Linked DNA regions of Kluyveromyces lactis. The protein of the gene in region 2 interacts with the protein of the main gene of each other region in a pairwise test. Links are inferred from orthologs where the notes say so. Each region holds a gene or a part of one and is shown on either strand. Other genes may lie near its edges. The genes, in order: RQT4 and SLH1.

Region 1 (12,667 bases), on a different chromosome or scaffold from region 2:
AAGGAGTTCGAGAGAACCCTGGTAAGACAATAGTATACAATGTCCGACAAAATATATTCGAATTAGAGCTGTATACGTTGAGGGATTTGGGGTACAAATCTGTTGTTGATTTACAAAAATGGGAACAACTTCAATGTCTTTCCTTATCAGGTTGCGAATTCATAGACCTCAATAACCTTATTTTACCACAACATTGCAAGATGTTGATATTAAAAGAAGTGAAGTATATCATATGGTGGGACCTGTCTCATCTGTTGAAACGAATCAGGCCTCAATGGATTATAAATGGTCAGGTGAAAAAACCCACGAAGAAAGAAGAAGAAGAGGAATCAGAATGGTATAACCTTTATTTAGAAGTGGTACAAACATACCAACCTCTGAATTTCATAGAACTGCACAACGCCAAGCGAGTTAAAGGAAATCTAATATTACCTGCTCGTTTAGTAACCGAATCTAGAATAAAGATTTCTAATGGGACTAAGGTAGATTCTGTTTTACTGATATAAGAGAATTGTGTCCAATGTGTACGATAAATATGTCAATTCATTAGCGCGAGAGAAACAGAGAACAAATGTACATATAGACTTATAAATAAGAGCAATATAATGAATATAGATAGGGAGAGTAATTTCGTGTCATTCATTTCATCAAACGAGATTGGAGGACCGTGAATACTAATAATAATAATAATAATAATAATAATAAAAAAAATCGGTGGGTAATAAAGGTAAATTATTGTGTCGTTAAAACATTATTGTCATTGGAATCGTTGGAAGGGGTCATTAAAAGGGGGTGCTTGACGTACTCATTATTCGAGAATAATAACGGTGTTAAATGAAGGAAAAACATGGTTAGCGGGGATAACATAATTGACAAATCGTCAAAGAAAGGATGGGAAACAATAAGGCTGACTACAACTTGGAATTGAAAATGTAAGGGTGGAATGAAAGTAAGCACATGTTGCGGCAAAAGATAACAGCAACAGATTAGAATGGAATATGACAAAATTAACACGATATCCGAAATGTTACTAAATTTCAGCCTTTGGTCAACAAAGCTCACGTATATGCTTTTTTGTAGAACACTAGAAACAAAAGCAGAGTTTAGCGATTGTAATATGCAGAATAAGAAAGTGTTAGTCCGAGAAAAAGATACCCATCTTGAGAAGGTCCATATCTTGTTCAGTGTTTTCAGGACCTAACAACTTTGAATCCTTGTCGTCTTGTTCTTCCATTAATTCTTCTAGTGTTGGTGCTACAAACGGTGTATCATTAACATGTTCACTTAAAGGATCGTCTGGATCTATGCTATTCAAATTTAAGTTCATAAAAGAATTTTCGTCATCTTCGCTGAGTTTCAACAGCAATGACGAGGGCAACGAATCATCGAGATCGATTGGCAAATCGCCAAGTTTCGAACCAGGGTTCTTAGTCAGAGCATGTTTTTGTAAGAAGTAAAGCATACTAGCATCTTGCTCCGCGTTATAAGCCTTTGAATTCGCTAACGTATCTGTCATTGGGTCTTCTTCTTTAATGCAATCCAATTCATCCTGATGGGTAGAGTGGTGATCTACCTTAAGCTTTTGTATAGATTTCAAAGGTTCTTGAGAATGTGAAGTCGAAAGTTTGTATTTGGAATAGAACTCCATTTGCTCATAACCATCCAAGAATTTCATAGCTTCAATAGTATCAGAGAACTGAGAATTTGGTAAGCTCTTATTTGATGTGTGGCTACTACTTGGACTTGATCCTGTATTCGTCAAGGTAGATGAATTGGAAAGAAGTTGATTGCTCACGGTACGATTTAAGTCGGTAGAGAATAAAGAACTTGGGGTAGATGATGATAGTAACAGATCGTCTTCATCTGTCAAACTTGCACGAGAACTCAAAGAAGAGGTCTGAACCATCCTTGAAGAGGAAAGATTTTTGATGAAGTCTCTATTTGGTTCATCATCTTCATCGAATTTCAAAAAGATTTCAGTATCGTCTGCAGGTTCTGGTTTCACTTCGATTTGTAACATATCAGCATCATTGTCAATGATAGATCTTTTACGAGGCAATCTCTCAGTATGTTCTTGCTTCACATGTACTGGCTCATGGTACGATTTATTTGTCATTGGTTTTGGAAGAATCTTCTGTTGCATTGGAACACTGCTGTTGACACTTGGTACTATGGTATGTGGAGATTTAGAATTTGATTCTTCTGGTACGATAGGGAACTGACGTTTCAATTCCTGTAAGTTACCCACTAGATCGGTAAGCTCCTTCTTAAGCTTATTGTTTTCCATCTTAAGGATCTTGATCTCTTTCTTCAAAGCAGTTTTGGAACCTGGTTTTTTCTTTGGCTCCACGGGTTGTGCAGATTGAATATGATCTAAAGTAACATCCAGCTGTTCCATTTTCACCTGTGGCTTAACTTTTGCGCTTTCCATTTTAGCTGATGGCTTTAAGGTCGGAATTGGCATGACTTGTTTCTTGCAAGCAGCTGGTGCAATTTTGGCACGGATGGGCTTAGGCTGGGTATGAGTGATCGATGTTGTCTGTTCAACTTGTATTGCTTTTGACTTGGCGTTTGTAGATTTACAGTTAGTCAACGGGATAGTTGATGATGATGATGATGATGAGGAGCTTGCGGTTGGCACTCCTGTACGGACTGCAGTCGTTGTAGATGACGCTACTGTACCTTGATCAGAAGAAGAGCAACTTTTACCAGAATCAATAACAGTGGCAGCCAAGTGTTTTTTCGATCCCGGTCTCAAATTCTCAACTTCTTTCACTGATTCCACAGGTTCTTGTTTAATCTTGGCATTAGTACTTGAAGCAGAAGCAGGCGTAGTGGACTCTACAGCCATACCCTTGACATTTGCCAGTTGCTGCTTTATCGATAAAGAAGGACTGGGTTTTCTACCCGGTTTAGGCCTCGGTGGAAGAACCCAGTGCCTAGACGTTCGAATCGTGATCCCAGTGGGTTTCTCATGTTTCTTCGGCTGTAAATTAGGAGCAATTGTAATCTGCTGATGAGGCCCAGTGTGTCCGTGAAGGGGCTCCAATGAAACTGGCCTGGACATTAGTTAATTCTTACTCTGTGTCTGAAGTGCTTTTATTATAGAATTCTCTCCGGACCAGCGAAAACAATATTAACTGGTTCGGAACCGGAGCCGTAACCAGAGTTGCGAAGTATGCGTTTGAAAGTAGGATACAAAAACCTTACGGCGAGATGCAACCTAAATTAGTTTGAACCACCTGCGATACGATTGAATCACGCTTGTTGAGTCCTTGTGTGTCTGTTAGAACCTGTTTTAGTTTCGGAGAAGTCGTTTGTTTCGGTAGAATTAACTACTCAACTTTTCAATTTAAACCGAAATTGAGAGAGAGAGAGAGAGGGGGAACAATGGTAAAAATGAGGGCATGATACATCAAGACGAGCCATCATGAATTTATATATCTCAGGCCATAAGATAGTATGGCCTGAGTACTAAGAGGTATCTCAAGTTTGAAATGGGGATTGGGTGTTGAGTTGCTAATAATTGATCACGTGACCATGACCCCAGATACAAAGCCACGCTCCCAAACTGGATCCCCCCCCTCCTCCCCGTTACAGTACTACGCTAGTACTAGCATGCTGAATTCACATCCCCAATCAATGCAACAGCAGCGTAGCTGCTGTTGCTGGGATCACCTATCGTTTAATTTCTTGATACCTGCGTCGTTTCCGATGCCACATTCTACAATGTGGAATGAGAAGCTAAAACCTCATAAAAATACCCTATAAAAAGCCTGAATGAGCGAATGCAATTACAAACTCCATCTGTAGTCATTGTAGACTAGCTAAATCATTCTAATGAGGCATAGCTGTCAACCAGATATATAGTTATTTGACGGTGTCACAGCAAATATGTGGGGCTGGTCTTGACATCCCCGGGTAACCCCTTCTGTTTTCGAAAAGTCATCGAAAAGTTGAGAACAGAAAGAACTGGAACTAATAACAGCATTAAACACTAAACTACTCATCGGATTAACTTCTAAGCTTTGTCTAAGAACGCCGTTCCAGTTCGAGTAAACTGCGCATATCCAAGAAATACAACAAGACTATAGGATATGGCACACAGAGCGTTTATACAGGTGATTTTCACCGGGGCACAGGTGTTTGGACGTGCGTTTGCGGAATCTTACAGACAAGCAGCAGCTCAAACAGCTAAACAAACGGCAAATGCTTCTAGAGGCCGTGGTGCTAGCGCAGAATACGGAGGTATCACTTTAGATGAGAGTTCTAAGATTTTGAACATTGAGAATGAACAGGATATGAATTTGGATAAAATCAACGAAAGATTCAAGTATTTGTTCGAGATCAACGATAAAGAGAAAGGTGGATCATTCTACTTGCAGAGTAAGATTTACAGGGCAGCAGAGCGTTTGAAGTACGAGCTTGCTGAAAAGGAAAAGGCTGCCAATCCAGAACTGAATCAAGAACAAGCGAAGTCGAGTTCCACGACGGAGTCACCGGAGTTGAAAAAATAGCGTAAGGTCATTCTCTCTGGCCTAGTATAAGTTTTGTAAATAGTTCAAATAAACCGAAATACACGCATCGCATGCTCATCGTATCATGTTCAGCACAATATCATCAGTGGTTGATGAAGCTGATTTATGTCTACAACTAATTAATACAAAAATTCTCTAGAAGATGGGAAAACTGTTCCATCATGAAGAAGGGCACAACGGAGAGTGAAAATCCAAACTCTCAGGCAGCCATTACGCAAAGCCCTCTGGATCACATGCAACACCTGGAAGAACAACTAGAGCGAGCTGTTAAACCGCTTCTAATCATCACTTTCCAGACCTCTTCATAATGGTTAAAAGAAAGAAGTGATGCAAAAAACCGGGAAAAGGAAGAGACTTCCCCTCCCAACTCAATGCGCTTCCAACTTTATTGATCTAAGAAACCGGAAACGAAATGGAAACTGTGGCCAGCTTGTTTGGGGCTAGTCAGGATCCATTCAGCTATGGGTTAAAAAATGGTAACAGTCACTCTTCTCCAGTATTAACTAAAGCCGTTCCTAGATCTCCGAAGAAACCTAGGAAAAACTTCTTGAGAAAAGAGATAACCGAAACCGTAGGTTTCTATGGTGTATATGTGTATTAATATTATCTTGAGATAGTACTAACCACTACTGATGATTGGTTTATTAAGAACAAACATCAAAAAGATTTTCCAATCTTTGAACTGTAAGAGTGTTTGAAAGAGGTTCAAAGTGTTGAAAAATTTGCCACTTTTATACTATTGATCGGAAAGATTACCCGGACATACGTCTCTACTATTATAATTGATTTAGGGTTTTACCAGGTAAGATATCGTTGACCAGACAAGCATGTTGCAGATATTTGGGGCCCTTCATGGTGTATATTGCCTAGTCGAGAATCAGTTTATATGAAATGTAAATCTGTTCATCCAAGTGGGATCTTTTGAGTCGAACTTATAAGCAATATACTGCTCATCTTGCCCATGCAGCTCGTCCTACTCACTGCACTGCTTAATAAGTGTCAATATCCAGGAACTTCGGTTACTTAGAGTAGTACCCAGCTTCTGGGCTGTGGCACCAGCAGTAACTATACCGTTTAGATTTATATATAGTTATAGAAAGGTTCGGGTATTAATGTCTGTCAGTCCAAGATAATGTGACGTTAACAACCATTTGACAGTAAAGCTTCCGAAGCTGCTACTTTCGATCCAAGTTCTCGAGTCTATGATTCTTCATGAGATCACCTGGACAGCCACCCAATTGTTACAATAGACCTCTTGTTGGCTGATCGGTTCCACCTTTTCTTTCATAACTTGAGAACTCTCATCTTTTAAAGTGAAAAAGTCTAATATTGAGAGATGAGCCTTAGCAACTGAGAAAGTAACTACTCGTATCCAAACAACACAGTAAAAGGATATACATAGCACTGGAATAATATTGCCAAAACAGTCACAATGACGAAAGAGGATGCTATTGAGTATGCTATAAAGGAATTGCCCAACATTTTGCCACTAGATACAGAACAGATCAAAGATCTATGTGAACAGACGATAAAAGAAGGCAACAACCCTGAACAGATAGCCCAATCCTTTTTTGATCTTTTAGGGCAAGACGACTCATCGGTACATTTCATATTTGAGTTCAATGAGAGGCTCATGGAATTGCCCCGTAAAACGGCTGTCAAGAAACCAATAGTGAACGAAACAACCAATACTAAAAAAGTGATATCTCCATTGATTAATACTGTGAAAACCAATGATTCCAGGGCCGAGTTCGCCAACAAGTCTATTCAAGCAACGAAACCGATATTGAATAGAGAATTAAAAAAGGTACCGACTGCCAAGGCTGTGAAAAAGGATTCGGGGAAAGAGAGTAAAGAAGTCAGATTAGATTCATTGAAGGATATCGATGATGTGTTAAAGATGTTGGAGATGAGGTCAGTCTCTGGGGATTCCGGTCAATATAAATGCAATTGCCAGGGAACAAGGCACCCAATATTCGATCCTGCACCAAACTGTCTGTCATGTGGCAAAATAATATGTGTCAAAGAAGGTTTGCATATGAACAATTGCAGCTTTTGCGGAGCTGAATTAATCCCAGCTAAGGAACGCGAACAAATCTTAGAATTGCTACGGTTAGAGAGAGAACAAATAGAGCTTCAGAAAGTTGAAGAGAACAAGCCCAAGCCGAAGCAAACCAAGAAATATAAGATTAAATCTGGTGCAGGCACAAATTTATGGCAAGAACAAGAGAAAATGCTACAAAGAGTGGAGAAAGATCGGGAACAAGAGAGAGAGATTAAACGACAACAAATATTGAATGGGGAGTCAAAGGAAGAAGAGGAGGATGAACAACTTATTGAAGCACGAAATCGACTCGACAAGCTACTTCATTTCCAGGATACCAGTGCTGAAAGAACCAAGATCATTGACAATGCTAGTGATTTCGCTATGAATGAAGATGTCATGTGGGGTTCTGCTTACGAAAGAGCATTACAACTAAAGAAACAGCAAAGAAATTTACGAAAATGGGAAAAGATTGAGAATGAACGCAATGGAAGGCGTGAAAAGGTCGTCTTGGACTTGACGATCGGTAAGGATGGTAAAGTTGTTATGACAGAAGCAGTTAGAAAGAGCAGCAAAAAAACGAATGCAACTAGTGATGATGAAATAGATGATATTAGCGATGAAGAAGATCTCCAAGACTTGGAAGATATCAAGAATTTGAAGTTAGAGATAAATCAACAAAAACAGAAGGAGAGTTCCAAGTTAACAAACAATGTTTGGGATTATAACAAGGCGCAGTCGGAGTTTAAGAAACCTGTATACATAGCAAACGCTGAGGAAGAAAAAGAATCTGCTCCTAAAAAGGTATCAAATGAAGTTCATCGTGTCCAAGTAGGTATTGATGATAGACCATCACTTCAAGATAGCATTTTGGCAATTTTGTGAAATTTGTCTGCCCGGACCGCCGATGTTTCCATAATCAATAAATAAATGTGTTGGAAAATTTATATATAGTTACATATCGAGCAAGCGTTACGGTTGGAACAATTCGACTATCATTCAATATCGAAAATTGGTAAGAACTGGCCCATTATTAACATTGGAATATTAAATGCATCTCTTTTAACTGTCCAAATACATGCACACCGTAGATAGCATCCATTCTTTAACAAAAGGTTACATTCGCTAAAAATAGCCTGACCATCAGAAGTTCCGGTCGATGAATTGAAGGGCCCACTTTGAGTTGAACCAAATGCCAAATACTCATGGAATATATCATAGTAATCTACTATGCTTTCATTGTCCATGAATTCCATGATAAACTTTCGTTTGTTTAAAATCTCCTTTTTGTTGAACCCGGTAAGGGATATAAATTCATTAGAAGCAAAGCATATCTCCCCTGACCTTCTCCATATACACATTGGGGTACAATTTACAAGTTTGGCCATGCTTTCATACTCTAACAATGCCCTTTGGAGAATAATTTCTTGTAATTTTAAATCTTGAGCAATTAAACTATTAGTTAGTGTAACGAATATTGGTGCATAATGTGTTTTAATAGAGTGGGCTATATTTTGCAATTGCTCGGGGCCATCCCTCTGAGATTTACCCGAGGAAGGTTTATCTGAATTAATGAATCTCCATCTCAAAAATCTTAACAGTTCCAGATAAGCTGACTTATAATTATGCGGTTGAATTAAAGCTTGATGTTTGTACAAGTCCTCAGGTGTCTTAACCAGTAATCTAAACCTGTATGGACTCAAATTCTCCACAGTTTCACCACCTTGAGATTCCGGTGACGTATCATTTGCAGAATGCCTTTTAGATTCACTTGCCATTTGATCTAACGATATGTGCGGCCTGGAATGCGTCCTTTTCAACCCATTGCTTGTGAGATTTAGCAGTTCCTGAGTATTGATAGGTCTTTGAGATTCAGTGATAGGATCCATTTTCATCATGTTACTTGGAGACCACGCTATATTGGAATTCAAGTATGTCTTTGAGTTATTTCGGGAAAGGTTTGGTGTCGATAGCATATCATTGAGCTTTGTATATTCTTCCGTAGTCCATACACTCCCGAACTCCCCAGTGCTACTGTTGCTGCTCGTATGATCTGAATTCAGCTTCTCTGGGATTGGCAGCAGCTGCTGTGCTGGTTGTTGCGGCCCCTGCTGAGGTGCTCGCTCAGAAAGTGGTTTATTCTTAAATTCCTCCAAGGGAGTCTTATCAGCCAGAGAGGGTAAATTGGCTGCACTATTCTGATTACTTGGCAACAAGGCATCCGAGATAATGGGCTCTGCAGTTGGGTTGAATAACTGAGTGAGACTGGGAATCTTCGGCAACTCTGGCGACATAACTTTCTTCTGTTTCCCAAACATATCAGATGGAGAATTTATAACGGGCATTTGTAACGGTAAAGAATCCATAGCTAGCTTGGAGATCCTCGTCTTCTTTGTCGAAACTCCAGTTTGCTTGGCCTTTATTATTTTACTCGAATTTTGTCTATTGCTAACGGCAGTTGCAGTATTAATAACGGGGATCAGTTGTTGATTAATAGTATTAGATATCTCTGACTTTGTCGACGCCGAAACCTCACGTTCCTTCTTAACTTTCCGCGGTCCGCGTTTCCTGGGCTTACGCTCCTTATCCCTACATGTGTCACCAATCCCACGCTTCGAGCAGTTTTGGCAGGGTCTACCAAGATCACATTGTAAATGCTTCTCATGGCAAAACACACAAGCTGTCGGTATCGGTTTTCGATTCAGTTTCTCTTGAGCTGTAAGTTTCTTCGTCATTACAAAATATACCAACCATAAAATACAACTTAGTTCTTATAATAAATAGTTCCGGTCGAGGAATAATACCTTGTTGAATACCCTGGTCTCTTCCAAAATTAGAAAAGCGATCGAAAACAGCGATATCTGAAAGGCTGAATAACTCAGTATTAGAGTCTTGAGTAGCGAATGTCTCAGCCAGGTGATATGTACCGTTTCCGGTATATAAGAAGTTAATTTGGATAATTCAAACGAAGTTCTTAAATCTTGTTTGTCATTTTCTTTATATCTGGGGAAAACATTCAAAAAGTGTTGATGATTTATTTTGAATCAGCAAAGGGTTCAAGACGAACTGGAGTAAATCGCGACCTTTAAAAACTCTCGCTTAGTATACTAGCATTTAAAAGCTGTACTAAGGGGGTAAAAGATTGGCTTTTAGTGTCTATCAAATGTTTATGTAGTGCAAATGTTAGAAATACATGAGTTTTGAATAAAGTATATGTAGAAGTTGGCTGGAGTGAGTTTACATTTATGCAAAGTTGAATTCGTCGTTAGATTGTCTCATGGCCATCTTGGCCATACGTAGCATTTTAGACTTCGAGTCCTCTTTTGGTTTCTTTTGGGAAGCTGCAGCAGCAGCTCCGGCTTTACCTTGCTGGAGACCCATCGATTTAGGTCTTTCTCTTAGGGCAAATGATTTGGCCAAATGACCAAGATGTAGACATTTAAGGTTGAAAAACTTCTTTTCGATGGAAAGATGGGTAGCATACGCTCTGATGTGGGACATGTACCCCTTGACAGCCAATTCCTTGAAGTGAGAATCTTCGATTACTCTCCTTTCAACGTTTAAGTGCCAAGTAGTAGCGTTGTTGTCCCAAGCTTGTGCTTCATGTTTGTCCCAATCTTCCTTCTTTTTATCGGTTCTTCGGACGTTGAGCCCCTCGAATGCAGGCCTCAAAACTTGCTCGTCGTATGTGAGTAATTTCCAACCTTTTGGATGGTACGGTTTGATGTAGTCCATGTATCCTTCTTCTTCACCAGGTAAGAGGAATAGTAGAGATTCACCTTCGCAACCAGCACGAGCAGTACGCCCGATTCTGTGTAAATGGTCTTCTACTGCAAACGGTGGATCCATTTCTATAACAGTACTCACATGGGGTAAATCAAGACCTCTGGATGCAACATCGGTACAAAATAAGATCAGATGCTTACCCTTGGTGGCATCGTTATTCGTGGCGAAGTGTTTTAAGGTTGCGGTTCTTGTTTGTTGCGATAAGGACCCATGCAACTTGTAACATATGACGTTTGGATCGTCCGTGTCGTTGAAACATGGAAGTATGCTGTTCCCCTTTGTGAGAAGCCTTGCGGTATCTCCAACGAGACCTCTATGATTCCCATCATGCGATGAAAACACTTCGTAGTGGAAATCTACACTATCAGAACAAGATAAAAACACAATGGTTCTTGTTACGTCTGATTTTGATCCTTCTTTATAATGCTTTTGAGTTATAGTTGTCAAAGATCCCGCTAGAGTAACTAGCCTTAGCTTTGGTGGCACTATGACAATCTTTTGAAGTAATTGATCTGGTACTGTAGTAGTTTCCGTTTGTTTTTGACCACTGCTAATCAATTTGTAGTTTTGAAGCGTTACATTGCCAAGTTTTGTCACGTTACCTTTCACAGTAGCACTACACAAGACGTGTAAAATTCTCTTTGGCAACTTGGGGAATTGATGAGTATCTATATCGATACCATGAATGATATTGAGGATTTCCTTCAAAGTCTCTTCAAACCCCAATTCCATCAACTTATCACCTTCATCCAAAACAACATATCTTAAACTTGGAGCCAATTGTTCTTTAATGACTTTTGTGTTCTGTAAATGATCCAATACTCTACCTGGAGTACCAATGATAAAGTTAGCACCTTTTCTCAATCTCGCCTTTTCCGATTTCTTTCTTTCACCACCAATAAGGAGACATGGCACAAGGAAATGACAACATTGAGCAAGCTCAGAAGTCACTTGATAAATTTGGTTGGCCAATTCTCTTGTTGGTGTAACTACAAGTGCAAAACATCCAGATTGTCTTGTGATATTTTGACCCAACGATAGTATGCTTTGGAAAATTGGTAATAAAAACGCCAATGTCTTACCAGAACCAGTTTGTGCATGAATAAACAAGTCGTTTTGTGCTTGTAAGAATGGTGGGATAACCAACTTCTGAATCTTAGTTGGCTTAGAAATCTTCATCTTGACGTTTAAGTGTGAAACCATCGTGTCAGTGATACCGAACGAATCGAAGGTGTCACCAACCAATGGTGCATTGGAATAAGTCACTTCGGCTTTTTCATCATGAGCATTACTATTGGTAACTGTGTCAATATTTCTACTGGACGTGAACAAAGAGGAAACGATTTGCGAGTTTAGCTGTAATGGTTGCGTTACCCTAGCTGGTTGTTCTACATTAGAACTGTTATCAAATCTTGATCTCTTAGGTTCTACAGGTGCCTGTGCCGAAGTTGAATTCGAAGAGGAGGCTTCCAATTCTTCAAAAGTTGGTGCTCCATCAGATTCTAATGGTCTCTTTTCACCCCTGACCCTCGGTTTACGACCTTCCATCATCATTTTGGCCTTTCTCCTGTCCTTCCATTTACCACCGGTAATTTTACCTCTACTGACTGTTTCACTAGCATCACTAACGTCAGTTGTAAAATTTAACAGCATTCCATCATCGTCATCATTGAAACTCATCTTTACCTACTTGATGATCGTTGATATGGGCTGCTGAGCGACGTACAGAGACTTTCACTTCATCTAATGTCAGCTCATCGCACAGTTAAGTCCTACTTCCATATTAAAATTTTCTATGCTTGATGTCAAGAAAAAGCAATACAAAGGTAAATACTCACAGAATTGGATAAAATACAGTTAGATTGGCGACTATCAGGATCGTTTGAACTGGACATTTGACACTGTAGTGGTTCGTGCTATGTACAGGTCATGTTATGTGCTGAAATTGATATCTCTTTGGTTTCATTACTGATTCAATTCTACAAACCTTGTCTGAAGTTTAATGTTAAAGCATATTATATACACGTAGAAAGGCAGATGGACAGAGACAAAAGTCGCTTATGACAAATATTAATAAGGTGGTGATGAAATACTCGCCCAGCCGGTATGGAACCAGTTGGAAGGTGATAAACCATCCTTTTACAGACGCTTCTCTCTTCTTGTTTCAATGATCACAAGACACGGCTCATCGCATCGATTGAAATTTTGACATTTCGGATGAGAAGGCTCACTCATTAGTACAACTAATGAGTGTTGAACCACTTGTACAACCAACTATTGTCCTGTTTCTATCCAGGTA
Region 2 (13,218 bases):
TCAAACGAAGTGAAGATTACAAAGGAAGACCGTCAGCATTTGAAAGTTCGGACTGCATCGGTTCATGATCCTATCCTTGAGGCGGTGCAAGAGATGCAGCCCTTCGAGCAAGCAGCAGACACGTTCCAGGGCAATATGAACAGACAGTCGCACGTGCCCACGGGGGAGTTGAAGGACGTGTTTGGACAACCTATCCAGCAACCTGATGTGTCTAACCCCACGCGGTCACGTGACGAGCGTCCGTTGGATACGATTAGAGGCTTTGAGTATTCAATCTCTGGAGATCCGACTTGGTCGCAGCAGCTAGAAACGCCACAGTACGGGTTTAGGGTCAGGCCCGGGTTCCAGGCGTATACTGGTGGTGTTGCAGGCAATGGGAACGACCATCATGGGTACCCATCGAACTTGAATATGAATACGAATACGACGAATTCGTACCAGCAACAAGGTGTGTATCAGGCACCCGTTTCTGATGCGAATAAGGAACAGAAGACGAAGAAAAAGAGAGGGTTTTTCGGCAGGAAGAAGAAGGACTGACACTGGGGCGAGAATGCCCCAGTGCTATTCTTCTTCTTCTTCTATTTACTTCCCTCTCTTTTTGCGTCAGTTCTCTCATTCCATGTAACACATACACATCCACGCCCTCTTCAATTCTCCAAAAAAAACGTCTGATATCCTGTAATACCCTAATTATTGGTGGAAAAAATGATCAGAGTTTGCTGGTGCCGCGTCCCTCCAGGAGCAATGCCTTGTTTAAAGGATGCACCTTTTACCTGTAAGATACCCTTGGGATTTTCCCTGGCAAACTTCATCTTACTGTGTGGATATAAATAAAATATGTGCACACGTACAGATATATAATTCGAAAAATTACGATACCATACTTATGTACTACTGCTTCGTAGGTATTCTAGGACAACAACGCTTCTTGAGTTCTCTCGTTGTTTGTTCACGTCTCTTCATATACCTCATTGCCAAAGAAAAAGAAATAAAGCTTTGATTCGAGCTGAAAAGAATCTTCTATGAGATGAGATGAGATGAGGTACAGCTGAATAGGTTGGTAACAGGACAATAGCTGGCCTGGATACAAAGACTGTGCAGTAAACCATATTCCACATTGATAATATGAGCGGTAAATCTAAACGTCCTAGACAAAGACACGATTCGTCGTTGCAGTTGGCCAGTGTCATTGGTGCTGGAGCGAATAAGATCAAGAAACAGATAAGAAACGTAGAGAGACTACTACAGAAGAGAAGAGACGTACTTCCTGACACTGTAATCGTGGAGAAGGAACGTATGTTGGAAGGTTTGAAGTTTGAATTGAAAGAGGCAGAGTTGAGGCAGGTTGGTCGTAAAAATGCTAAGAAATATCATATGGTGAGGTTTTTCGAACGGAAAAAAGCGTTACGGAGGTACAAGCAAGCGTCCAAGAAAGTGATTGCTGATCCTGAGAATAAGAGATTTCAAAACGAGTTACGTGACTGTACGATAGATCTATGTTATGTTGTCAATTTCCCAAGACTGAGTAAATATATTGCGTTATATCCAACTGGCTCTTCAGATGCTAAAGAATTGTCTGAAGAAGTGAAGAAGGGTTTAGATAGTACTGACGCCAAGAGAACTGAATTCCGTAATCTTGTTGCTAAGCAATTGGATGAGGGTACTTTGCCCGTGTCCTTGAGCCAAATTTTGGAAGGTAAGAGATTGAATAAGGACAGTACGGGTGTCATGTTGGAAGAAGAGCAAGTAGAAGAAGAAGCTACAGAGAAACAGTTCAACGACGAAGAAGAAGAAGACGATTTCTTCGAGTGAAGTGTAGGCAACTGCTTGCCAACTGTTGTACTTTTATTAAAAAGAATTAATGTATTTATATATGTGTTTAAAATGTAAGAGTTCCTTACTCCATCAATTTGTGCTTCAGGTGGTACTTGATATCAAGAGCATCACTTACCAAAACGAAATCTAATTCTTTACCGCGAATATCTTCAGGTACAACAAAGTCGAAACTTAGTAAACCTTTTCCATTGGGTCCTAGTCTTGGCTGACATCTTTTCAACATGATTAGTTCATCGTTTTGATATGCAATCGCAAACCAGAGCTCTCTTTGAGTCTTTGGATATTTCGCACAGTATACTGAAAATTCTTTAGGTACCCTGTTATGGTGTGTGGCCTTAAGAACTAATGATTCATTACTGGTCTGAGAAGTGAACACAATATTGTCTAATATGGGTAACCTGGATATTTCCCTCAACATACGTTTTTGATGGTCAGGTGTAACATGGTACTGTCTGGACATGATATTCTTCACCTTGTTCTTGGCGCCATTGTCATCTTGAAGTCTTGCTAAAGAGTCTAAACTCATCTTGTATCCATTATCAGGTAATGGCCAACCATCATCTCCGAATTCGATACGGTCGTCTCTCTTTAAATGAGCTCCAGGTAACGCTGAGATAGGATCGTCTTCATACCAGTACCCTTGCTTCACACATTGCATGGCCTTTATCAGAGTCATCACGGTGTTGAAGTAACCTAGCTCGGCCGCCACGTCAACATAAGCCTGTAAGATACGCAAAGATTGATCGAGTACCGAAATAGTATCTTGATGATAATCAACAATGGGAAGTTCAGCACGACTGAGGTATGCCTGTAACAATAAGAAAGCCTTCACGTGTGGATCCCACATTGGAAGTTCAAATTCGTCAATGAAGGTAGATTCGATAGAATACCTTGACTGTGCAGACATTTCTACATTCATGATTATTTCACCGTTTCTCACTGGAAGTTCGTTATATTCAACAGCAAGTGATAACCATTTTAGAACATCTTGGAACGATGCGTTAGAGTTGATTTGTTTCAAAAGCGAACGGATGGTTTTATGCGAAATGTAGTAATAGGAGGAGATACTCAAATATGGTGTTGAGTAGATATTTGTACCATAAATCTCCACACATCTAGATTCTTTCAAATTATCAAGAGTGTTGTTCACTAAGTCGCTTAAGTACTTATTGATACCAGAAGTACTAGTATCATCATTGATTCCATAATAAGTAGGATTATGATGAGCTCTCCTGAAAAGGAAAGTCCAATTCAAAAAGTCAAGAGCCTCTTGTTTAGTCGATATAGTACCAGATGCTATTTCAGCACCCATGTGATCATCAAGCACTTTGTGTAAAGATGATTCAACGGGGAACCCAACGTTTAGGAAATGTTTGTAGAACATTTTTTTTGATTCCTTTGTGTACACAATAGCGGTACCTGAAGTATCATAAGCGGGTCTCCCTGCTCTACCCATCATTTGCAATATATCTGTTAAGTCCATATCTCTGTAACCTTCGATCTTTGCATCGAAAAATTGTGTACCTTTAATGATGACTAAATGGGCAGGAAGGTTAACACCCCAAGCTAAAGTTGAAGTAGCAACGAGAATTTGTATTTTACTTCTTAGGAAGAGTTCATGCGAGATTGCTCTATCGCTTTCTATCAAACCAGCATGATGTAAGCCAATGCCGAATTGAAGAGATAATTTTAAAGTATCATCTGATACTTTGGAAATATAATACTGCAATTCTTCTTCATCGTCTATGTGTAAGAATCTACGTGGGTTGTCTTCCATACCACAGAGATGAATTAGGTCTAAAGCTGTTAATCTAGTTTGACGACGAGAGGCAACAAATAGTAGAACAGGTTTTTCCGGTGAGTGCTGTTTAATGGCCATGAAAGCCGGCTTATTCATCGTTTTCATTAAAGGACAGAAGTTTAGGTTATCTGGGAATCCATCGATATACATCTTTAGGGGCACAGGACGAACACTGGAGGGAAAATTATACAACCCATTTCCTTTAACACCTAACCAGCTTGCCATATCAAAGGCATTTGAAACAGCGGTTGACATACCCAACAATCTAATAGGTTTTTTCGTTTGTGAGGAAACATAATTCATACGACTTACAATCATTTCTAAGATAGGACCACGATCACTTGCAAGTAAGTGAATTTCATCCATAATGATCAACGAAACGTTTTGCACAAACTTACGGGTTTGCCAGTTACGAGAAATACCATCAAACTTTTCTGGTGTTGTAATGACAATGGTTGCATCTTTAATGTCCTGAGGATCAGGTACGGAATCACCAGTCAATTCAACTATCCTATCACCAGTGACAGGAGTGATTCTTTTTCTCCAATCATTCACTCTTTCCCTCACAAGTGCCTTCATTGGTGCGATATATACAACCTTACTACCAGGATAGTCCCTGAATGCATGCCAAATGGCCAATTCTGCCACGACGGTTTTACCTGACCCCGTAGGGGAACCAACAAACGTACTGACGTTGGAATGGTATAATGTATGGAACACCATTGTTTGCATTGGATTGAAATATTTGAAGGGATAAATAGACTCGACCAATGGGTTTTTCAAAGCAGAGGTTGGTAGCGGATTAAGTTTTTGTAACCTTGTTTGTAAAGTTTCATTGTGAGGTCTAATTAAGTGCTGGAAAGAAATAGTATGAGCGCTTTCACAGCCGATCCAAGTATCTGATACAACTTTGACAATAACTTGAGGTGGCAGTGGGTCTGATAATGGAATCATGAAATCCATTTCGTGTGGATTACTTAGTTGCCTCTTGTTTAATATGAACTTCTCGAAATGTAAAATACTCGATTGATTGGATTCTTCCACAAATACCCAGAAGAATTGAGCATCGCCGTGTACATGATAATCCCATTCAAAGTTTGGTAATAATGATATATGGACCCTCATCACATTTGTTGTTATCGGGAAAATCTCTGCGTCTATGTCTACTCTTGGGAAACGAGATATTATACGATATAACTTCCCACCCATCTTTTGGTTGTGAACAAGATCTGCTAACTCGGCAGCGTCCATATCTAAGAGCATTTCCATACTGGGGTTCTTTGCCTTGATGTTCCTCAATATCGTATCTGGTAAGTCAAATTGACATAATGGATGATCAAATGCCCACATTCTCTTTTCGATGGACTTGCATATATCTAGCATAACTTTTGAAAACGTGCCCCATCTTCTATTAATACCAATTAGAAGTAATGCCCTACATATTCTTGCAGAATTCTGAGCAATGTAATTTGCATCTGAATTTAGTGCAGAGTCATTAATTCTGCTTTGAGAAACATACGCTTGTAGAAGAATATTTGTCTTACCAGGTGAACTGTCGACGTCCCCAGAAATCTGACATTCAACGGCACAGTCAAGAAGTTTATTTAATTCATTAGATTCTTCTTCTCTGAACTTGATGGAATCGAATTCGCTGCTCATACTAATCATGGCTAACACATCTGCTTCAGTAGCCCTTGGATTAGCAACTTGGTTAAAGATTTCGACAGACTCATTAAGTAAATAAAACTCGGAAGCAATTCTTCCCAAATCCTTTGGAATGAAATGCATTGAAACTTCATCGAAAACAATCATTTGTAGAGAATGTAGACGACGGGCGGCTGTTATGATGATTTGTCTTCTCTTCTCGTACAATTGCGGATCATTTCGGATCTCTTCCCAATCAATACCATAAGTAAAAGGATTCTGTTTCATCCTGACAAACATGTAAGTATATCCTAACCACTTCACACCTTCCTCAACGTTCGTGACTGTTCCAAGAGATATTTCGGCATTCAAGTTGTCGACAACCTTAGCACCTAGTCTTGATTCAATAGGATGTTGTTGCGTGATTAGGTCGACATAATGATCTAAACGGTCGTTTGAAGTACATAAGTAAGCAGTACCATAATCAGAACCAAACCCTGGTCTACCAGCACGACCGAAGATCTGAATAACATCTGAAATTCCAAGATCAGTGTAACCACCTTTCTTGGAGTCATAAACCTGGGTTCCCTTGATAATGACACAATCAGCAGGTAAATTGACACCCCAAGCTAATGTAGCTGTACAAACAAGTACATTTACGGCTCCGCTTTTGAACATTTTTTCTGTTATATTACGATCTGAACGTGACATACCGGCGTGGTGAACACCAAACCCTGATTGGAATAACTCCTTAAGATCTTTATCTTTATGTTTGGAAAGTTCCTTTTGAAATATTGTTACGGAAGCATCGTTACTTGTGAATAAATCCATCTCATAATTGTCTCTTGCCATACTTATAAGTGTTCTGGCAGTTTTTACAGTATCCTTTCTTGAATGCACAAAGATCATCACTTGATTACCAAGTTTCATCATTTCTACGGCCTTCTCGTAGGCAACTTTATCGGTATTTTCTCTACATTGCTTACTTCCTGCTTTTCCTCTGCAACCAATCAAATGTTGTTCTAACGCTTTGGGCCTAAAAGACTGGTCGAAATAGAACATCCCGACATTCCTGTTTACACCTAAGAAATCAGCAACATCTACGAAATTCGGTAAGGTAGCAGATAAACCTAAGATACGGATCATGGTCTGCGAACTTTCTACCTGTCTTAAAGTACGTGCCACCAAACTTTCAATGACTGACCCTCTATCTTCATGTAATAAATGAACTTCGTCTAAAATTAATAATTTCACCTTTGAAGTAAGGTCATTGTCACCACTTGCTTTACGTGTGACCACATCCCATTTTTCAGGTGTTGTAACAATGACTTGAGTTTCAAGAATCTCTCGCTTCGTTAGTTGCATATCACCTGTAAGTTCACGAACCTTGACATCAAACACGGATAGCTTACGAGCAAACTTGTCAGTGATTTCAGCTGCTAAAGCCTTAAGTGGAGCCACGTAGATAATTTTGAAATCATCATATTCAATGTCAAACCCGCCTTCTTCATTTATGACGGAGAATTGTTTGATTGTATTTAATATAGTCAATAAAGCAATATCGGTTTTACCTGCACCAGTTGGAGCGCAGATCAACATGTTACCATTTGTATTGTACGCTACCGGGTAAACCAAGGACTGTACCTTATTCAAATAATCATACTCGAATACTTTACGGCAGTATTCATCCAAATCACTGACTTTGACCAATGGAATATCGAATTTTCTTTTCGGTACAGCGCATGGAATTGTTATCTCTTCATGTGTTTGGAAAGTATATCTCATGCTTCCAGCTGGTAATGCAAATTTTTGACCTGCAAAAGAAAGCATTGACGATCCAGCATCCTCCGACTGTCTAAAGACATGTGGATACTTTACTTTTCTTTGTGCAGTAGCCAATTTAGCGTTTTTACCTTTTTCCCTATTCTTGAGGACTTGTCTTCTCATGTCCTCTTCGGTCATGAATCGGTTTCCCTCGTAAGTATCCGAATTAGACATATGTTCAATCGGAGTGTGTTTCAATATCTCTTGATTCTCAATTAGAAACGATATCAGCTCGATGTTTTCAGCACCTAGGTAATCGAAGAGATCTTGGTCCGCAGTTCCAGTATTTTCATTGTTCCTCAACAACTCGATCAACTGCTGTAGTAGTTGATCTCGAGGGAAATCAGAATCAACATTATCAAGTAGTCTGAATAGCTCTTTGTATACTTGTGCTTGTGCATTAGAAGCTGAATGATTGGATGTAATCAACGATTGTAAGTTATCAGATGAAAGGTTTGCAAACTCTTCAAATATATCATCCCATTCATTCCTATCCTGAGAAGTTACCAACAATTTATTTCTATTATCACTACGCTTAGTACCCTTCTTCAATTCCTCATCGACCTTAGGGATTGTGCTTGTATCTAGATGAGGGAATGCCTGAGCTGCTGAAACCATTACTTCCATCGCCTTCATATAAGAGCCCACGGAATGGACTGAATAAGTCGTACTCATCCTGTACAAAGATTAATATTATCAACCCTATAGCCAAACTACAGTATAACGACTGTAACGGTTTTCCAATATGGGCTTTACGTTGATCTTCTTGTGTTAAAGTCAACTTAAAAGGTGTTCTTTGCTAAAGATTACGAATTATGATTCTTGTGCACTTTTAACAATGCGAAGAGATGAGCTATAAAAAAAAAGGCTACTGACTACTAGTATTAACTATCCATAGAAACGCTATTGGCCACTCAATTTACCTATTCTCACCTCTAGATCGTTGAGCTGTAACTCTAGTTGATGCCTAGTCCGCTTGAAGGATTGTTCTCTGTCGGTAAGCTGTCGTGACGTGGATTCTAAGAGCGATGACCATTTTTCGATCTGAGAATGAACTGAAGACATATGATCGTTAATCTCAGATACCGTATCGTTCATGTCATTCACAGAGGTATGTAGAACGTTTAGCGACTGTACACGTTCTGTGATTTGTGGAATCACTTCCGAGTACTTGTTTAAGATGTTATACTTATCGTAAATGTCATTGACCTTAGATTCTGTAGATTTTAACTTCCTTTCGATATCAGTAGATAGATTTGGGTCTTTCTGAGCTCTCCTTCCGATGATCGACTGGTCATACTGATCACTTATCTCTTTCATTTTATTTTGGAATCCAGTCAACGTCGGTTCATCCAACTTGAGGATATTAATCTCTCTGTGAAGTTCATTGATGATTGACGTTATCGATTTATTCGTATTCGAGGGTCCGATTTGTGACTCCAATATGGAAATCTTATGCTCAATATCCTCCAGCTGCTTCAATTGGTTGATTTCTATCCTGATGTTTGGAAGTGTAACCTCATTTTCTGTATCCTCGTCTGATGCTATGACCAATTGGCTTTGTATGTTTTCCATTGTACTTTCCGTAGACTGAGCCAACGTTTCATACAATTGCTTCAAGTTCTGTAATTCGTTTGAGGAACCATCCTCCTCGGAATCCTGCTCTATCTCAAGGAGCTCCCTCCGTATCCTTGCCAGCCTCTGCCTTCTTGTTTCATTTATATGTCTGATATTATACGTCGGCAGTGCGTATAGTTTTCCTGAAAAATCGGTATCCTCCGAACTTAGCACAGAATGCTCGAACCTTTCGTTATTCTCTTGAACCTTAGGTATTTCCTCCTCAATTATATCTTCATTTGCCTCGGTAATCACTACTTGGTCTGGTGTTTCTTCAACATCACTGGTCTCATACACTTCTTTCCCTGTATCGCCTTGTAACCCTAATTGTTCCACCTCAGTAGATAGATCGATTATTTCAACAGCCATGAGTTATTCCCGGTCTCTAGTTATGAATGTGCGCTAGTATGTCCCATATATCGGTCCCTAATCGGGTTGTGATCTTTAACTGTTCAATAGTTAATAAGTTTCATAGATATGAAACCTTAGAATCGAATTTAGTTCTTTTCAATCAATACACTACAATATATTACATTGGGAAGTGAAAATGGAGTGACTTACTCTAATTCTCTTTTAATTGACCATACACACTCGCTACTGATCATGTCTATCAAGACGGCACTTTCGAGGCTCCAGCAGATACCGGAGATTCAAAGTCGCTACAATGTTTTCACATATGTTAATGAGAGAGCATCGTCGCAATTGGAATCAATAGATAAGAACACTACCGCAGATAAACCGTTGAATTATACCCTGGCCGCCATTAAGGACAATATAGCCACCAAGAATATGCCTTCTACATGTGCCTCTAAGATTTTAGATGGCTATATGTCGCCTTTTGATGCCACCGTTGTTTCGTTATTGCTAGAAGCAGGAACGGTGATAGCTGGTAAAGCCAACATGGATGAATTCGGTATGGGTTCTGCTGGGATACATTCTCATTTTGGGCCAACATTCAACCCGCTCTTTGATCACAAGGATCGAGTTATCGCAGGTGGTTCGTCATCTGGATCTGCTGCTGCAGTAGCATCCGGAGTTGTTGATTTTGCATTAGGAACTGACACAGGTGGGTCCGTAAGGTTACCAGCCTCATACACTTCAACTTTTGGATTCAAGCCGTCGTATGGTAGGCTCTCAAGGCATGGAGTTATATCGTATGCTCAGAGCTTGGATACGGTAGGGGTATTTGCGAACGATTTGTCTATGATTGATAGGGTCTTCTCGTTGTTAGATAAGCATGACAAGAAAGATCCAACTTCGTTAAGCGAGGAATTGAGACACAAGTTTACTTCATTGACAACCAAGAGAAAGACTTTAAGAATAGGTATACCGGAAGAATTTTCTCAGGAAAGTGTTCCTGCTGAATTTAGAGCTGCCATGACGGCGATCATTAAACGTTTAATGAAGAAAGGGCATGAGGTATATCCTGTGTCAATTCCATCAGTGAAAAATGCACTATCTATTTATTACACGTTGTCTCCTGCCGAGGCAGTGTCTAATCTTTCCAGATATGATGGTGTCCGGTACGGTTATAGAGCAGAATCCGATGTTGAAGATGGTACTTTATTTACACCAACAAGGTCGGCATTCGGACCGGAAGTTCAAAACAGAATCATCTTGGGAAATTACAACTTATGCTCAGAGTCCTTTAAGAACAACTACATTAAAGCTCAAAAGCTAAGAGTCCAACTAATAAATGACTTTGATCGGGCTTTCAGGTTCCCAAATGTGTTAAGTGGGAACTCTGTTAATAAAGACGGCGTTGATATCATGTTGTCCCTAACCTCAACTTCATTTCCTACTACCTATGATGAAGTTGTGAGCGAGGAGAATAAAAACCCTTTGAATACATACATAAATGACATATTCACAATGCCCATGTCATTATGTGGGCTTCCAACAATGACTGTACCGGCAGGGCACGCATTTGGTATTCAAGTATTCTCTCAACACGGTAATGATTACGAGTTGTTAGATGCCTGTTCTGAAATTGATGCACTTGTAAATAGTTAAATGAGTTGAAGTTTAGTTAAAATCCATAATTCTATAAACAGAAATTCTTTTATAAAGTCTTGATAAGCCCTTCTAACTGATCGAGAGCATCCGTTTTGTCCCATGAAAGTCTATTGTTCCAGATGACGTTGGCTATGGATGCATAAACTTCTTCTAGTTTCTCTACTGTGAAGTTTTGTGTATTTTTTTCCAGAGCAGAGATCAAAGAGAGAGCTCTAGATTCATCGTAGACGAATTCTGGTTCTGGTTCTAATTCTGACTCTGGTTCTGACTCTGGTTCTGGTTCTGATTGAGCTTCTGGTTCTACTTCAGCTTCAGTGACGCTCGGTGGTTGCTTTTCCTGCTCCTTATTAGTTGCATCTTCAGTATCAACAGTTAAATGCGAATTATTGTGACTAGTCTGAGCAAAGCCATTTTCCGCATTGGTAAGCCTGCTCTCCGAATAATCTTGAACAGTGTCCGTTTTTGCCAAATCAGCATCATTGGTTCCAAAGTTCACAGGCTGTGTTGTGAATGGCTCTACTTGAGACGTTTCACCTAGATCTAGTGTACCCGCATCTAATTGAGCCTGAGACTGCACTTGGTTTCCTGAGGCGGTAGTTAGTTCAACTGTAGCGATCGAATCAGTTTGAGTTGGATTGTTCTGCAAAAGTATTTGTTGTTCCTTATCCACTCGTTCACTTTTTTCCTTTATAAATAATTCTTGTCTTAGAAGTTCTCTTTGGCGTGTGGCTTTGCATTCTGCAACAAATTCTGGTTGCGAGATATCTTCGATGCCGACTTGTGCATTAGCAAACATTTCAGATGCCTTTATTACTCTTTCTCTGTCCGCTGATGTGGTAGCATCAAGATAAATCAACTCGATATCTTTTAGGAATTGTTTCGGCTCAGAGTAATAACCATTCCATAATCTCTCTTCGATAATATCCAAATCCATGTTATAGAATTTTCTACCAGTAGCAACTTCGAGAATCATATCGCCGTCCTTTACATAAGCAGGTTGCCAGCCTTGGTTGGCAGCAAAGGTTTCAGGCTCAAATAAGTGAATCAAGAACGTATCATCAATAGGAGGTTTCCTGAACCTCTTGTAACGATTCTTGAAAAGATCCATTAAACCAGAAAGCTTTATTTTCAAGGTGTTCTTTAATTTCATGTCTTGGTGTTGGAACTTTTTCAATTCCAGTCTCAATTTCTCCTCTTCTGTTAAAAGTCTGCCATTCTCATCTATTTCCTGTGAGGTTTCGACGACAGGTAATTTTGGAAGTGGCTTCTTCCTTTTCCTCGATTCAATGTATTGAGTCGGTTTCATCTTAATAAGATCAGCTACGGTTTTGAAATACATAAACCTTTGATGAGGGGAGGGTTCGTTAATGTTCACTATGTTGGGCCCAAAGGAAAACATTGCAAGTGGACCGTCCTCAATTTCAGCGCGAGATAAGCCGTCAGCGATAGCTAGTAAAACCACGTTTTCATTACTCTGCAATGATCTGAAAAGAGTGGTTAAAGTGATGAGACAACTTTGGGGACAGGCTTGGAGCCATAATTCTAAGTTTGGTATGCAAATTACAGAGGGTTGACGCTTCTTAGCCTCCGCGAATGTTTGTACAAGTGCTGCTTCCATCGTTCTACTACTCTCCGATACCAAGGTAGGAATGTCAAGCATTTGAATATTGTAATCTTCCAAAAAGTGTAGTGTGGCGGAAGCGATATATTGTAACCCGTTACCGGGCGGGCCTGTGATCAAAAGTTTCGGTTTGCAGACACGAGATTTCTTGATAAGTTTTAAAAATTCATGCTTATCGAATCCAGTACCTTCTTCGTCATCAGAATCCTCAAGATCCTCATTTTCTAAGTAATATTGAATAATGGAGGAACCCGATTTCAATTTTGTGCTTTGCTTGGGTAGTAGTAAGTTGAGCTGATCCTTGACGTTAATAAATTGTTGAGCGAGGAGCGGTTCAACATATTTTGGTAAAGGCTGCGCTGTAGAGCCAGTAGCTCTAGCAGATGATGGTACAATCTTTTCTAGTGCAAGCATGAAGTCTCTAGCCTTGACTCTAACTGATTTAGGATCAATCTTTAGCTTTTCTTCACTTTTATAGATTTGTGGAAACTTTCTTTGGATACTGATCAAAGATGCTTCTGTACAAAGTGCTCTTAAGTCAGCACCACCGTATCCTTTAGTTAAGGAGGCTAGCTTTGAAATAAATTGATCTGAAATAGGTGGATTCCATTTCTTGGTGTGAATATGCAAAATTTTATCTCTAGCCTTCAAGTCTGGTAGAGGGAAATAGAACTCACGGTCAAATCTACCTGGTCTTCTTAAAGCAGGATCCACTGCATCTGGTCTATTCGTAGCACCGATTATAATAATCTGACCTCTATTATCCATACCATCCATCAATGCCAACATTGTCGACACGATACTGGCATGGATTTGTTCCTGTTTGGAAGATCTAACTGGAGCCAACCCATCAATTTCA

What was found.
Region 1: the proteins of SLH1 (region 2) and RQT4 interact in a protein complementation assay, tested with the Saccharomyces cerevisiae proteins (2 studies listed by BioGRID). The link is inferred for Kluyveromyces lactis from reciprocal best matches to the Saccharomyces cerevisiae genes SLH1 and RQT4.

The regions. Positions count from the first base shown.
Region 1 is NC_006042.1:1,280,181-1,292,847, forward strand, and holds RQT4 (Rqt4p), read left to right. Parts: upstream 1-5,970; coding exon 5,971-7,467; downstream 7,468-12,667. Other genes in the region: CTF13 (Ctf13p), read left to right, coding at 1-506; transcription factor HAP4, read right to left, coding at 1,136-3,067; import motor complex subunit PAM16, read left to right, coding at 4,098-4,517; GSM1 (Gsm1p), read right to left, coding at 7,578-9,317; DBP7 (putative ATP-dependent RNA helicase), read right to left, coding at 9,826-12,048.
Region 2 is NC_006037.1:859,984-873,201, reverse strand, and holds SLH1 (RNA helicase), read right to left. Parts: upstream 7,781-13,218; coding exon 1,898-7,780; downstream 1-1,897. Other genes in the region: KLLA0_A09933g (DUF2406 domain-containing protein), read left to right, coding at 1-537; EFG1 (Efg1p), read left to right, coding at 1,126-1,812; JNM1 (Jnm1p), read right to left, coding at 8,009-9,091; glutamyl-tRNA(Gln) amidotransferase subunit HER2, read left to right, coding at 9,326-10,735; chromatin segregase YTA7, read right to left, coding at 10,785-13,218. UniProt on the Saccharomyces cerevisiae protein: Involved in activation of the ribosome quality control (RQC) pathway, a pathway that degrades nascent peptide chains during problematic translation.